Linked DNA regions of Kluyveromyces lactis. The protein of the gene in region 3 purifies or fractionates together with the protein of the main gene of each other region. This does not show direct contact. Links are inferred from orthologs where the notes say so. Each region holds a gene or a part of one and is shown on either strand. Other genes may lie near its edges. The genes, in order: NOP58, LCP5 and ENP1.

Evidence for each region.
Region 1: the proteins of ENP1 (region 3) and NOP58 purify together in Saccharomyces cerevisiae (affinity purification with mass spectrometry; 4 studies listed by BioGRID). This does not show direct contact. The link is inferred for Kluyveromyces lactis from reciprocal best matches to the Saccharomyces cerevisiae genes ENP1 and NOP58.
Region 2: the proteins of ENP1 (region 3) and LCP5 purify together in Saccharomyces cerevisiae (affinity purification with mass spectrometry, with the first as the bait; 3 studies listed by BioGRID). This does not show direct contact. The link is inferred for Kluyveromyces lactis from reciprocal best matches to the Saccharomyces cerevisiae genes ENP1 and LCP5.

What each region holds. Positions count from the first base shown.
Region 1 is NC_006042.1:800,151-805,139, reverse strand, and holds NOP58 (RNA-processing protein NOP58), read left to right. Parts: upstream 1-1,981; coding exon 1,982-3,517; downstream 3,518-4,989. Other genes in the region: DGK1 (diacylglycerol kinase), read left to right, coding at 457-1,308; U4/U6-U5 snRNP complex subunit SNU66, read left to right, coding at 3,877-4,989. UniProt on the Saccharomyces cerevisiae protein: Required for pre-18S rRNA processing. May bind microtubules.
Region 2 is NC_006041.1:1,204,702-1,209,556, forward strand, and holds LCP5 (small subunit rRNA maturation protein LCP5), read left to right. Parts: upstream 1-2,145; coding exon 2,146-3,333; downstream 3,334-4,855. Other genes in the region: rRNA-processing protein NSA2, read right to left, coding at 1,133-1,918; VFA1 (Vfa1p), read left to right, coding at 3,627-4,244; RNA-binding RNA processing protein NOP9, read left to right, coding at 4,517-4,855. UniProt on the Saccharomyces cerevisiae protein: Component of the U3 small nucleolar ribonucleoprotein. Required for the early cleavages at sites A0, A1 and A2 of the pre-ribosomal RNA. Participates in ribosome biogenesis.
Region 3 is NC_006042.1:637,132-641,877, forward strand, and holds ENP1 (snoRNA-binding rRNA-processing protein ENP1), read left to right. Parts: upstream 1-1,479; coding exon 1,480-2,916; downstream 2,917-4,746. Other genes in the region: SRM1 (Ran guanyl-nucleotide exchange factor), read right to left, coding at 1-812; SNAP receptor USE1, read right to left, coding at 3,130-3,912. UniProt on the Saccharomyces cerevisiae protein: Required for normal export of the pre-40S particles from the nucleus to the cytoplasm.

The DNA.
Region 1 (4,989 bases), about 160 kb from region 3:
TTGATTAGTGGGTCCATAAGGAACCTCTGACGAAATGATGTTATGATGATTTTAGTGCGGGTAACATATAGCGTTTACTTGCCATGTGACTTCTTCACTTGTGAATTGATTTTTCGAGTGATAAATAAATAATCTGCGATAAATGATTCAAACATTTTAATGAAAGAAGCAATCGGTTGATGAGGTCAGTGTTTCAACTCATTGATCATGATGCAAGTTTTCTTCAACTGATCTATAATAGGTAACTTGTGCTCAAAACTGCAACTAAACTGGTAAACATTAGTTTCTACTGTCTTACTAAGGTTTGTCCGGTTATCGTTATTGTGTTCTGATTATTGATCTGGAACTTGACCACCATACGAAACACTTCCGATACGAACTGAAGTCAGAAATTCCAAAAGAAATCGACGAGATCCAATAGAGAAGAACATCCTAGCATTTTACTATTTTGAATAGATGGTTGACTACAATTCAAATGATTCTGGCAACGAAGCCGAGTTAAAACAGAGACTGAGTACTCCTAACGGAGTAAATACAAAGAAACAGAAGGAAACAGTTGTCTTGGGAAAGAGTCTGAGTGATGTTCATCTACCATTAACAGAAATTCATTTAAAGTCACATGAATGGTTTGGTGATTTCATTACAAAACACGAAATACCACGGAAACTATTCCATTCATCTATTGGTTTTATTACCCTATATCTTTACACTCAAAATGTTGATTACAAGAAAGTGAAATTTCCATTGATAGTAGGATTTACTGTCGTATTTATTTTAGACTTCATTCGTCTACGTTCTCCATTCTTCAATAAAATGTATTGTCGTTGTGTTGGGGCATTGATGAGGAAAAAAGAAATTCATACGTATAATGGAGTCCTATGGTACTTATTGGGCCTGACTTTTGCGTTCTCCTTTTTTAGTAAAGATATCGCGTTAATCTCACTGTTCTTACTAAGTTGGTCAGATACCGCTGCGTCTACTTTCGGTAGAAAGTACGGACACCTTACACCAAAATTGGCCAGAAATAAGTCTTTAGCAGGTTCCATTGCAGCCTTTTCCGTTGGTCTCATAACTTGTTACTCATTTTACGGATTCTTTGTGCCTCATTATAACTGGGTGAACAAACCAGGTGAAATCTCCTGGACCGAAGAGACAAGCAAACTAAACCTACTACAACTTTCGCTATTAGGTGGTTTTGTCGCAGCTTTGAGTGAAGGTATCGACTTGTTTAACTGGGATGATAACTTCACTATTCCAGTTCTATCCGCCATTTTCATGACAGCTGTCATCCGCATTTTCAAGAATTGAGGAGAGCGGTGCGTAGAGGCACCATTTACCATTACCTAGTTTGTATTTTACTTTTCGTGTTCCCTCCTCTTACCTTTACACTGAGCAGGCTTTTATCAAAACCTTCCTCACTGATGATGTACCACTTTCAATGATCGCATATGAAATTCAATCCCTTTGAATATTTGACTATAACCGGAGAACTTAAGATAGACGGGAGGAAATGACAGTTAATGATCACATTTCACACCTACATTTTTTGTATACAAGTCAATTGATTTGGCACATATATTCTACATCTCACCTTATGTATAGACTTGAATAAATTAAAAACTACCAGCAAATATTGTTTAATATACAACGTCTAGTTTGATGCTTTTGTGAACCGTATTGGCCATTGGAATGTGCTTGGTCTCGATATATGAAGAACAAACAGTGCAGTTCTTTATCTGGTCCCTTTATAACACGTGATTTATATATGTGGTGTCCAGATGTGTTTTCTTTTCATTTCTTTTTGAAATTTAACTAACATTGAAAAATTTTCGACAAGCTCATCTCATCAGTATTGAACTACAGAATGGTATTAACGTTTCGATTGAAGAATTAAGCACATCCATCATATCTACGATATCTCAAAGAACCCGTTGAATAATTAGGATCATCTAGCAACATACACATAAAAGACTTTTTAGCGATGGCCTACGTCTTGACAGAAACCTCAGCTGGGTATGCTCTTTTGAAAGCATCTGACAAGAAGATCTATAAGTCCTCTTCTTTGATTCAGGATTTGAACAGCAGTGACAAGGTCTTGAACCAATTCAAGATTGCTGCTTTCTCTAAATTTTCATCAGCTGCAAATGCTTTGGAAGAAGCTAACTCTGTGATTGATGGTAAAGTCTCTTCCCAATTGGAAAAACTGTTGGAAGAATGCAAGACCGACAAAAAGGCCACCTTAGTTGTTTCTGAAACTAAATTGGCAAACGCTATCAACAAGTTGGGTTTGAACTTCAACGTTGTCTCTGATGCCGTCACCTTAGATATTTACCGTGCAGTCAAGGAGTACTTGCCAGAACTTTTGCCAGGTTTGAACGATCAAGATCTTTCCAAGATGTCATTGGGTTTGGCTCACTCCATCGGTCGTCACAAATTGAAGTTCTCTGCTGATAAAGTTGATGTTATGATCATCCAAGCTATTGCTTTGCTAGACGATCTAGATAAAGAATTAAACACTTACGCTATGAGATGTAAGGAATGGTACGGTTGGCATTTCCCAGAATTGGCCAAGATTGTTACTGATTCTGTTGCTTACGCCAGAATAATCTTGACCATGGGTATTAGAGTTAATGCTGCTGAAACTGACATGTCTGAAATTTTGCCTGAAGAAATTGAAGAGAGAGTCAAGACCGCTGCCGAAGTCTCCATGGGTACTGAAATTACCCCAGTTGATTTGATTAATATCAAGTGTTTAGCCGAACAAATTGTTGAATTTGCTGCCTACAGAGAACAACTTTCTAACTATTTGTCTTCAAGAATGAAGGCTATTGCTCCAAATTTGACTCAATTAGTTGGTGAATTGGTTGGTGCTAGATTGATCGCACACTCTGGTTCTTTAATCTCTTTGGCCAAGTCTCCAGCTTCCACCATCCAAATCTTGGGTGCTGAAAAGGCTCTTTTCAGAGCATTGAAAACTAAGCATGACACTCCTAAATATGGTCTATTGTACCACGCTTCCTTGGTTGGCCAAGCATCTGGTAAGAACAAGGGTAAGATTGCCAGAGTTTTGGCTGCTAAGGCTGCCGTTTCTTTGCGTTACGATGCTTTGGCTGAAGATAGAGACGATTCTGGTGACATCGGTTTGGAATCCAGAGCTAAGGTAGAATCAAGATTGTCCCAATTAGAAGGCAGAGACTTGAGAACCACACCAAAGGTCGTCCGTGAGCACAAGAAGACTGAAATCACAGAGGCTAGAGCATACAACGCAGATGCTGACACCGTGTCTTCAGCTGCTGCTCCTGCTGACTCTGATGATGAATCCGAGGACGAGGAAGAAACCAAGGAAGAAAAGAAATCTAAGAAGGATAAGAAGGATAAGAAGAGAAAGAGAGACGATGATGAAGAGTCTAAGGAATCTAAGAAGTCTAAGAAGGAGAAGAAAGACAAGAAGGAAAAGAAGGAAAAGAAGGAAAAGAAAGAAAAAAAGGATAAGAAATCTAAGAAGGAAAAGAAATAGATATAGTATTCACATTAAAACCCCACTCTTTTGCATTAAATCTCTAATAACCTCGTATAAATCTGTTCCATTACATACGAACATACTATGTGTGTACCTCTGTAAATTAGTCTGTATCAAATTCAAACAAAATATAATAATTGAATTATTGTCATACGCTGTACTCTTCTTCTCATTGTCATCGTCAATGGCTTTGATAGTTACATCAAAATATTCACTGATGAAAATGTTGAAATATACAATTCTTAAATTCGGACAAGTTGGCGATGAGATGAGGCAGAAAGAAAGCAACAGGATTTGATAATAAGGATATTCGACCACAATACGAATTCTACGAGGCATACAGTTACTTCAAAGCCATGGGTAAGATTACTTCTATATCTTTGGAAGAAACAAATCGAATTAGGGCAAGTTTAGGTTTGAAGACTATACCTAGGCCCACTGAGACGTCAACAGAATCAAAAGAAGGTGCATCTGATACAAATAGGAAAGTACGAAGATCTAGTCAGCTAAGTTCACGTCCCTCCGAAAAGGATTGTGCTTCTGGAAAAATAAATGGAAGCGCTCAAGATCGTGATAAAAAGATTGGTCAACTAAAACAAAGAATATATGAATCAAAGGAAGCAGTGGACCAAAGAGCGACTACTGATAAAGAATCTATTGATGACTGGCTTTCCAAAATTGGGAAACCTATCACTCACAAAGAATCTTCTGCTGAAAATGCTACTGTACATGATGACATTACGCATCACCATATCCCAGTATCAGATGAACTGAAATCTATTGCTGAACAGAAAGCAGTCATTTTTACATTGAAAGAAACTTCAGTGACAAACGACGAAGAGAATATTGATGACGAAAACATATTAGAGAATGAGAAGCTAGTTCATGATAAACAGGATGCCAAAAATCTTAAGCTACGGCAATTGAATAAAGATAGAAAACTAAACAAAATCTCCATCTTTGATTACAGCGATGAGGCTAATGATACAAACTCAAGATCTGACATACCATTACACGACTCCTTAGTAAATGATAAACCATTACCTGTTCACCAGTCTCTCCCTAAGAGGGTCAAAATTGAAAGTGACTCAGATGATGAGCAACCATATCAAGATTACGCACCAGTCAAGATTAAAAGGCGAAAGAAGAAATCAAATCAAAACCAGAAACCGAGAAGAATAGACACAGCGAGAATGGTGAAAGTTGATCTTTTGGAAGATGATGAGGATTTCTCAGACCGGCCAATTCAGGCAGTTGTCAAAGTCAAACAGAAACGCAGTAATGAGGAAATAACAGGGATAAAGAATTCATTGGAGTTGGAAAAACTCGAAGGACAGCAAAGAAGCAAAGGAATTCATATGTTGAACAATAGTGATAAAGGAATTCTTCTGGATGAAACCGATGAATTTTTGGATTCTTTGAAGGCGAACGTTCTTGACAGAGAACCTGTTAATGATGATTTGCCCATA
Region 2 (4,855 bases), on a different chromosome or scaffold from region 3:
CGCGTAGGAAATATCTGCTTTCCTATTGCCCTGCCTAGCCAGACCGGGGGCGCCGCCCGCGGTCTAGGCAGATCAGATGAGCGTAGACAGGAATTTGAGAAAAATGATTCAGGGAAAACCAGGGTTGCTCACGTGCCGGACAATCTGTCTGGACAGACATTTTTCACGATCGAAATAGCTGTTAGGCAGAGAAGTCCACCGTGGCCAGGATTATTGTCCGGCACTTCTAAATCAGGACGAGAATGTGAATCAAAAAGAGGGTTGGATTGAGCGAAGAGGCTGGATCAAAGGTACTGTAGTCACCTGCAACAGTTCTAATATGAGAATCTGTATAGTGCTACTTTCAGTATCACTATAACAGTAATTTAAACGAGACTCAAGTTGGATCATTAATTGGCAAAAGCTTTCTGTAGATGCAGAACAGGGGGAAAGAAGGTAAAGGTTAATGGGTAAAGGGGCTGTCCGTTAGGACAAATTTCAATACATACTGGTGGGGTTTGGAAAAAGCACTGATTGCTTACGGATCAGTTTCTGTGGTGAAAACTAGAACGTAGATCCAGAAATCAATTTGATCTGGGGAACTACTTCGTTTCCAGTGGGATCAATGATGTTCTTTTCCTGAACAACGTCGACGCTAGTATCTGTATATGGACCAGTGCTAGAATCTGACCTAATAAGTGCTGTTTTGAAGGTAAGTTTGTGTATATCAAGCGCAAAGAATGTGTATGTATAATACTGAATATATATATATATATAGATAAAATTATTTGGTATGATTTGGTAGGGTAGTACCCTACTTTATTGTGAAACAATAAAGATGAATACTTAGGGTAACCTGAGGGTCCAGAAGGTCAATTGACACGACGTGTGAGTAGCAATTAGTTCAATGCATTGGAATAGCTGGTATCTCAACGGCAGCGAGGCATGAAATTGTCAGTCTCATTGGCTATAATTCAGTATTTAACGCTAAATATATGATTAAATAATGATGATTTAGCCAGTACTTTCTAATAAGGGAACTCAGTTCTAAAATGAAATAGTAATATACAATAACGTAGCGGAGTGGGGGGTGATGCAATAGGGAATAATTGAGATGAGTAGGAATTTTGGTAGTAATAGGTTGTACTTGTTCTTACACAAGTAGCACAGCGTTGACACAACCGTCTCTATCTGGCTCATTCGTGATTTGAGCATATTTACCCCAAACCACTTTACCACCAGAAGTAACCATACCTAATTCCGAGACGTTCACTTCAATAATAGTACCCTTGGTTAATACACCCAACTGTGTGTACATTGGCGATTGAGGATTCTTCTTCACCGCAAGAATTGGCAAGAAAACGGTGACTCCAAGTTCCGGATGCGTCACATTAGCCTTCTTTTGTCTCAAAGCACTAGGTCTGATAATCCTTTCCATCTTCACAGGCCTTCTTGTAAACCCTTCACCAACAAACGTATGTTTCGTGATCATTCTCTTCCATGCCTTAGACTTAGACTTACCTGTCTTAACAACTTTGAACATCTCTTCCTCACTGATACCTCTGACCTTAGGCAAAGGAACAGAAAACTTGTCAGCCTTCTCCAAACGCTTCTGCTTGATGGAACTGGATATAGCCTTTGCAGTGTTGTTCTGTTCTCTGTCTAACAAATAAGTAGGCAAAGCCTCCCCGTTCTCATCCAACGGTTTGGACCCTCCTTTAACTTTACTCTGCTCATGAGCACGGATCTTCTTCTTCATAGCAACCTTCTCAGCATAACGCTTCTTAGCAAATTGCTTACCCTTCCAACCAGTCAATTTCTGAGCCTTTTCAGAGATCTTATGAGCCTCACGGGCTTCTCTCTTACGTTTTCTCTCATCGTGGTCTAATCTACGACCATGTTGCTTGATGTGCTGTTCGATATATTCGTTTTGAGGCATCTTTGTTTTATTGTAAGAACGACTTGTTCGGTGATGACTTACTTCTAAATCACAAACGGACACACGGACTCCTTGAATGGACTTCTTACCACATGTTAACCCATGCGATGAGCTAGTTGTTCAAGTTGTCTTTGTATGCTTTTCTCATTGAAAGAAAAAAATTCAATAGGAAATGTCGAAAAGAAACGTAGTGAAAAAAAAAATTTGGAATCAAGCGATGAGATGAGATGAGATGGGTATCAGCCAGATACAAGTTTGGTTGTCTGGTGTGGGTTTGGCATAGGTTCGATCTACTGTTATTGATGTATAAAACCTCATTACATTCTATTGACAAGGGTTACAGCGGAAATATAGCCATGTCTGAGGAGTTAGGAACTGTTTTGAAAACGATTAGAGATTCTTTGAAATCTTGTGGAGAAAGCTTGGATAAGTTAGAAGAAGTCTATGATGATGAGGAGACCCATCCTTTCCAAGGTTCAGCGGTGGTAGGTCACAAAGGTGATAAATTAGAAAAAGTTTCTCTACTTTCTTTGAAGAATGGGAGTATGCTATCGTATTTGAATTCGCTTCTGTTGGTATTGGGACAGAAATTGAATAAAGAGATGGTTGTTGATGAGGGTAGAGTCAGGGCAGTGGAACAACGAGTTGTTCTTGAAAGAGGTGTGAAGCCCTTGGAGAAGAAGTTAGGGTACCAGCTGGATAAATTGACGCGGGCGTACATTAGACTGGAGAAAGACGTTGAAGAATCCAAGAAAAGAGCCGAATTGCAGGGACTGAGTGACGTACGTGCTTCCCAGGAAGAAGTATCAGACTCAGATTCTGATAGTGAAGAAGAGATGCAATATAGGCCGAACAGTTCAGGAATGGTCAATAACACATCAGTTGGAGGGAAAGCCAAGGGGAAAATCGCTGTCAAGAGTACTCACAATGAAGAAGATGTGGATGATAAAGATAACGTTTATAGACCACCTAAGATCAGTGCCGTTCTGCCACCAAAGCAACATCACTTCGAGGATAAATTCAACGCACAAGAACATAAGGATAAGAGTAGCAGGTCTCGTATGCAAGCTATGGAAGAATACTTGAAGGATTCCTCGGAACAACCGGAATGGGAAACTTCTATCGGTGCCAATATCGTCAACCATGGTAGAGGTGGTGTGAAGACAGCAAGAGATACAGAACGTGAACGTGATGTTCAAAGATTCGAAGAAGAAAATTTCACTAGATTGAACCCCAACGGATCCAAGACTGACAAGAGAATGAAAAAACAAAGAGAAATCATGGCCAAGGTTAATATGATCGCCGGTGAAGATTTCAGTATCTTCAACTCCAAGCGTAAGTTGGAGGATAGTACAAGCAGAAGAGGTAATAAGAAATCTAGAAATGCTTGGGAAAGAGCCAAGAAGAAGTTGTAAACCTGAGGTCCTTCTTTTTCTATGTATAAATAGGCTAAAATATCCATACGTCTCTATTGTCATCATATAGTGTCAAATACGTAGTTTATAAATCGAATGATAACGGTGTTGCACTGCTCAAACTCTAGCTTTGATGTGGTTTGTTTCGTTTCGTTTTGTCTCGTTTTCTTCATATCAAGGTGTAATCACCAATAATTAATTAATACAATCTAAGCGTTCCAACTTTGCAAGATATAATCACCACCTATCACCCCTACTAATCTCCTACCAGCGTACAACTTCCAGCGCCCCTGATGAAGAACGAATACACCAGAAAGAAAGTCTCAGCAAAGGATAGGAAAGCATGTCTGATATGTGGTAACCCTACAGTCACAGTTTTGTTCAATGGAAGCGGACCTGATTGGTTTTATACATGCGATATACATCTAGTTGATAACCCGCAGTTTGTACAGCCTCTATACCCAAAAGAGTATCACGAGTCTCTGGTTAGTCTTAAGCCACTCAAAGAACGCATAGAGGAGCTACAAAGGAAAGAGCGAGGTACCTGGGATCAATGGGTTAATAAGATCTTTGACTCTAAAAAGCCATCATCATCTGATGATAAGAAAGAGGACAGGGATGACGCGAGTTCTGACGACAAGAAGAAGACCGATGAAGCAAACTCACTTGAAGAATTGCAGCAAACGTACCAAGCGACACTTGATAAGCTAGCTGCATCAAGAGAGACGTGCAATAGATACACTCTACACGACCTAGTATTCCAATCAAGAGTCGACAGACTACGGAAACTGGCTCAATTAAAGGAAAAGAAACGTGTAGAGCAACAATCATACACCAACACCGACCCCAATCAACTATTACAATCGTTTTCGTTTCCTGAAGTCCCCAAGAACACCGTTAACAAGTCATGAGAGGACGGCCTAATATGCCTACCTCTTATGTCTTTTGTGCAATTCTATATCACGTGATTGATATCACGTCAAAAAGAAATTTCTGATCTTTTCAACTTTTCAATGAAAAGCTTTAAAGAAGCAGGACATAGTTAGATCCCATGCGATGAGCTTCAAACTAGAACAGAATACTTGCTGGTTTCAGGCGTTTCATCTCTGGTTTTTGCTATTTTAAATAATTTTGAACTTTAATTCGATACGTGCTCTAAAAAAAGGCTAGGAACTGTAATATCATGGCTAGAGTAAGAGGTAGAAAGCTAATAAAAAAGCTCAAGAAAGATGAGTTCCATCCAGAAGACAATAAAACCCATGATGAGCCTACGGTTAGCCATGTTAATGAAACTGCTGGGGGTGACAATAGTGATGTGAGTCCTAATACTTTCTTTGGTGTCCTAGATTCTGGCGAATTGGATTATTTTAAGAAGGCTGAATCCACGTTGGCTATTGATACATTTGAGAATCCAGATGAGAAGTACCAGTTTATCAACAGTGTCATCGAGGAAAGTAAGGGTAAAGAGTTGAAACTTGCTACGTCTCAGATTTCTTCTAAGCTAATGGAACGTATTATTATG
Region 3 (4,746 bases):
AACCCAAATGGTCTTGGATCTAAAGTTCTCAAACGAGAACGTTCCAAAATTCTTCTACCTAATTGTTGCTGTTGACCATTACCCCAGGCGTAAACAATACCAGTTTCATCCAAGAACAATATATGATCTTTCCCAGCAGCCATTTGAACAATCTTGGCTTTCTTGGAGAAGTTAGGGATTATCCAAGGGGTTTTCTGGACGGTAATCTCATCTCTGTAGAAACCTAAAATACCTTCGTTACAACGGAAGGTACCCCAAGCGTAAACGTCACCATTTTCAAATAGAGCAGCAGATAGATTGTCTGTGGCAGCAATCTGTACACATCTTAATTCGTCCAATGGTAAAGAGTCTCTAGGAATTTTAGTTGGAGTGGATTCAATTTCGTTGAGGTCACCATCTTCATCATCATCACTATCATTTGCATCCATATCTTTCAATTTTTCTACAGCTCCGCTAGTGTCTCTACCCAAAGCACCTGAGTCGTTAGTCCCCCACGACCAGATGTTATTGTCAGCGTCTAGCGCTAGGGTGTGCATTCCACCTGCAGCAAAAGACACAATTTTAGCCTCATCACGGGGCAAAAGGGGATTGAGTCTAGGTCTCTTAACTTCTTTGTTTTTAGCTAGAGGACCCAAGCCTAGTTCACACATTGATCCAGTTCCCCATACAAAAATGTCAAGTGGAACAACAGATCTATACAAATGTTTATAATCATCTTGAGAATTGATGCTAACAAACTTATGATTCAAAGTAGAGTGTAAATGCTTCCTTTTAACTGGAGTGTTCGCTACACTAGAAGATCTTTTAGACATGATTTCTTCAGTAACTGGTGGTCAATTAAAAGATTAATTGGAAGGGCCTAGTCTAATGTTAATTGTAACTTTGCTAAGATTGCAAGGAACGAAAAAAACGGAAATGAACACTTGGTTTTTGATCAATCGATAAGTACAACTCAAGGGAGAAGCTTGAGTGAACAAGAGACCAGCAATGTGTCACCACGCATATGAGATCACATTACACTTGATCCATTGTTAATTATATATACGTAAAACGAATCTAAGCTGCAGTTGAAAAATCTTTCCAGATTTTAAAGTCACGTGCAAAACAAACAACATTCTTTGCCTGTAATCATTAGAAGAACATAGCTCTTGGCTGTTTACAGTAGCTTGAATTTGTGTTCAACGCTGTGGCATATCTGTTTCAATCACGACGATCCCGCTGCCAATGCTCCAGAGTTATTTAATTGAACCTTTGACTTCTCTAAACAGAGTATCTCTAGCCTTTCTTTTTCTGTCCGTGCATTGACTGAAAATTTTTGGGATTTGAATAAGTAACGATGAGATGAGAAGCGATGAGATGAGATGAGATGAGATGAGATGAGGTAAATGGCAGATAACAATCACAAAATTACTCATTAGTGTCTGCTTTAGTGCTCAGAATACGACTAGTGATACAAGATTTATTTGTTCTACGGAGAAAATGGGTAAAGTAATGGGTGGCAGCGGTCGTAAACAGAGACACGATCCTTTATTGAACGATCTTGACTCTCAACATGGTAAGTTGAAAAGACAAGGTAAGAAAAAGATCGATGCTAAGGATCAAAAAGGCCATGAAGATGAAGAATTTGTCGATGCCCAGCAATCTAGAAAAATTTTGCAATTAGCTAGGGAACAGCAGGAAGAATTAGAGGAAGAGGACGAGCAGTCTCTGCAGACATCCAGCCAAGGAATAAACAGATTCTGTGTGGCCAACTATGCGGATGAAGATGATGTAGCTGAGGAAGAGGAAGCTCAAGGTAATAACATATCTGACTTTGAACCGGAAGATGAAGACGATTTCGAAGGATACGAGGAGGAAGAAGTGGTAGAAATTGACGAAGAAGATGCTGAAATGTTTGACCAATATTTCAAGACTTCTGCTGATTTCAACTCTGCCAATGGATCATATAACCTTGCCGATAAGATTATGGCTTCTATTAGAGAAAAAGAGATGGAACTACAGTATAATGAAGAAGAAGCAGGTGATGCCTCTGCAGTAGCGGAACCAGCTGCACCTGTAGATCGTACAGAAGGTGTCGCCTTACCACCCAAGGTGATTCAAGCATACCTTGCCGTTGGTACCATTATGCAGACCTGGAGACATGGTAAACTACCCAAACTATTCAAAGTTTTGCCTTCTCTAAATAACTGGCAAGATGTTCTCTATGTTACTAATCCAGAGGAATGGTCTCCGCATGCTATATACGAAGGTACTAAACTTTTTGTTTCTAACTTATCATCTAAAGAGGCCCAAAAATTCGTTATAGCTGTGTTGTTACCACGCTTCAGAGAAGAAATTGAATTTAACGAAGATCACAACTTAAATTACCATGTCTACCGTGCATTAAAGAAATCATTGTATAAACCGGCTGCCTTTTTCAAAGGGTTCTTATTCCCACTTGTGGAATCCGGTTGTAATGTTAGAGAAGCTACCATTGCTGCAAGTGTGTTATCCAAGGTCTCTGTGCCAGCTCTTCATTCTGCTGCAGCATTGTCCTACCTTTTAAGATTACCTTTTTCCCCAGCCACCACCGTTTTCATCAAAATTCTACTCGAGAAGAAGTATGCTTTGCCTTATCAAACTGTTGACGAATGTGTCTTCTACTTCATGAGATTCAGAGAAGTCACTGATGGAAGTACAGGCCAAGATGCCGTCAGAGTCTTACCTGTGGTATGGCATAAAGCTTTCTTAGCGTTTGCTCAACGTTATAAGAATGATATTACCCAAGATCAAAGAGATTTCCTACTTGAAACTGTTCGTCAAAGAGGTCACAAAGAAATTGGACCTGAAATCAGAAGAGAATTATTAGCCGGTGATAGTAGAGAATTTGTCAGTGATGTTGGTAATAAAGCTGATTTAATGTTTGATGTTCTGTAGTCAATAGTCCTATAACAATATAAGTGCCTGTCAATTTTAAACAAGTGTATAATATGCAATTATAGATAAGACAATCAATAGAATCAATCTATTCGATAAGTGGAAACGGTATCAATTAATTTCATCGAATATTCATGAGTCTATTTTGTACTTTGAAGCTTTTGAGTGAAGCAGAGCCTTTATCTAAATCTTGGAGATTTTAGCGGAAGACACTCATAAATCTGGAAATACTTTTATTACAAGATAGGTGACCAATAGACCAATTATAATAAACGATAAAAGTCCTAACTTCATTAAAAATCCAATTTTTTCATTGTGATACTTTTTCAATCTGGATCCGAGTGAAGAAAGGCTCTTAGAAGTAACATGCAATCCGATTTCTGCTGCCTTAAGAACAGTAGAGTCGTGTTCGATAGCATTCTGGAAAGCTTCCGCACCTTGTCTTAAGCCTGAAACTAGCTGGGACATGTCTTCAACCAGTTCCTTCTGAAGATCATCCTGAATTTGCATTTGTTTGTCAAATGATTCACCCTCCGTATCAGCGCTGTCCCTTCTTTTACCCATAAGCCTTTGGCGGAGCTCCTTCAAAGAATCGTTGTCATTAATTGCTTCAACATTGGATATTATATCAACATCGTCCTCATCTCCTATAGGCACGTCGGGCGTTGCATCGAAATCAACACTATATCGCCTTTTCTTTTGAGATTCCTGATATGCATCATATTTCTGTTGCAACTTAGAAGCTTTGGAGAAACTGATAGAGCTAACCGATTCCTCTAGTCTGCTAAAGTTTTTCTGGTATCTATCAATAGCATCAGAAGACGGATCATCCAAGTTATCCTTTATAGCCAGTTTTCTCACGGTATTTAAGTTTGTGGCCAGTTTTGTAGATATAAGATAATGGTAAAAAGGGTCTTCGTCATCTTGAAAGAGCGAAAGGTCCCTGTAATAATTTTTGCGTAGTTGATCACTTAATGTGTCTAAATCTGTCGTCATATTCCGTCAGTTAATGTCCTTTAACGAGGCGCTATCCCTTTTTATTTGTGATTGGAATTGTACTAAGTATTATTTTAAAGGCTATATTACATTTTGTTTTATGTCACTAAAATATTATCCCAAACCTCAATCAAAGAAATAACAGAGCTGTCTGAATGAAAGTCATTCACTCTGAAGCATGACCCTTGCCAACCCTTACAAAAGCGCATGTAAGAAAGAGTGGACCGAGTGCTACTTAATGTATCTACCGATGGTAAGTATAACATAAGGCTGAACTTGGTTAACTATTGCTAAATCTTATTGATATACAAATTCATACGACTCTCATAATATTTCAGAGGAAACTACTGAACCAATTAAATGGGTAATATTTCCGCCCACCTACTATCAAACTACAAACTGTAGGAATTCAGTTGTTGTTAGCGAAAAGGGCGTTAAATGGGAGTATCCCAGCTCTGGGCATCTTGAGCTTACTTCTACATGCGTGGAATAAGTCTGCGCCATGATAACCACAACGCGAACCATAATTGAACATGCCGAAATGTGTTTAAGAGCCCTTGTTTGCTGAGCTAGGAACCAAAAAGATAACCACAAATGACAAGAATACTTATCAACTGGACCATGTACTGAGGTCAAGTATAAAGTAAACCAACTTTAACCAAGTTTTGTATCCTTTTCTTTTGGTTCATCAAATTTTTCAGTAAACACCGGGTAATGCAGTGACAAGTTGCATGCTAACCATAGGTCTTATAACCGGAAGCAGGGCAGCTAAGGAAGATATAAAGGATATGCAGTTACATTTCCATAATGAATGGGGATAATAGACTGTGCAAA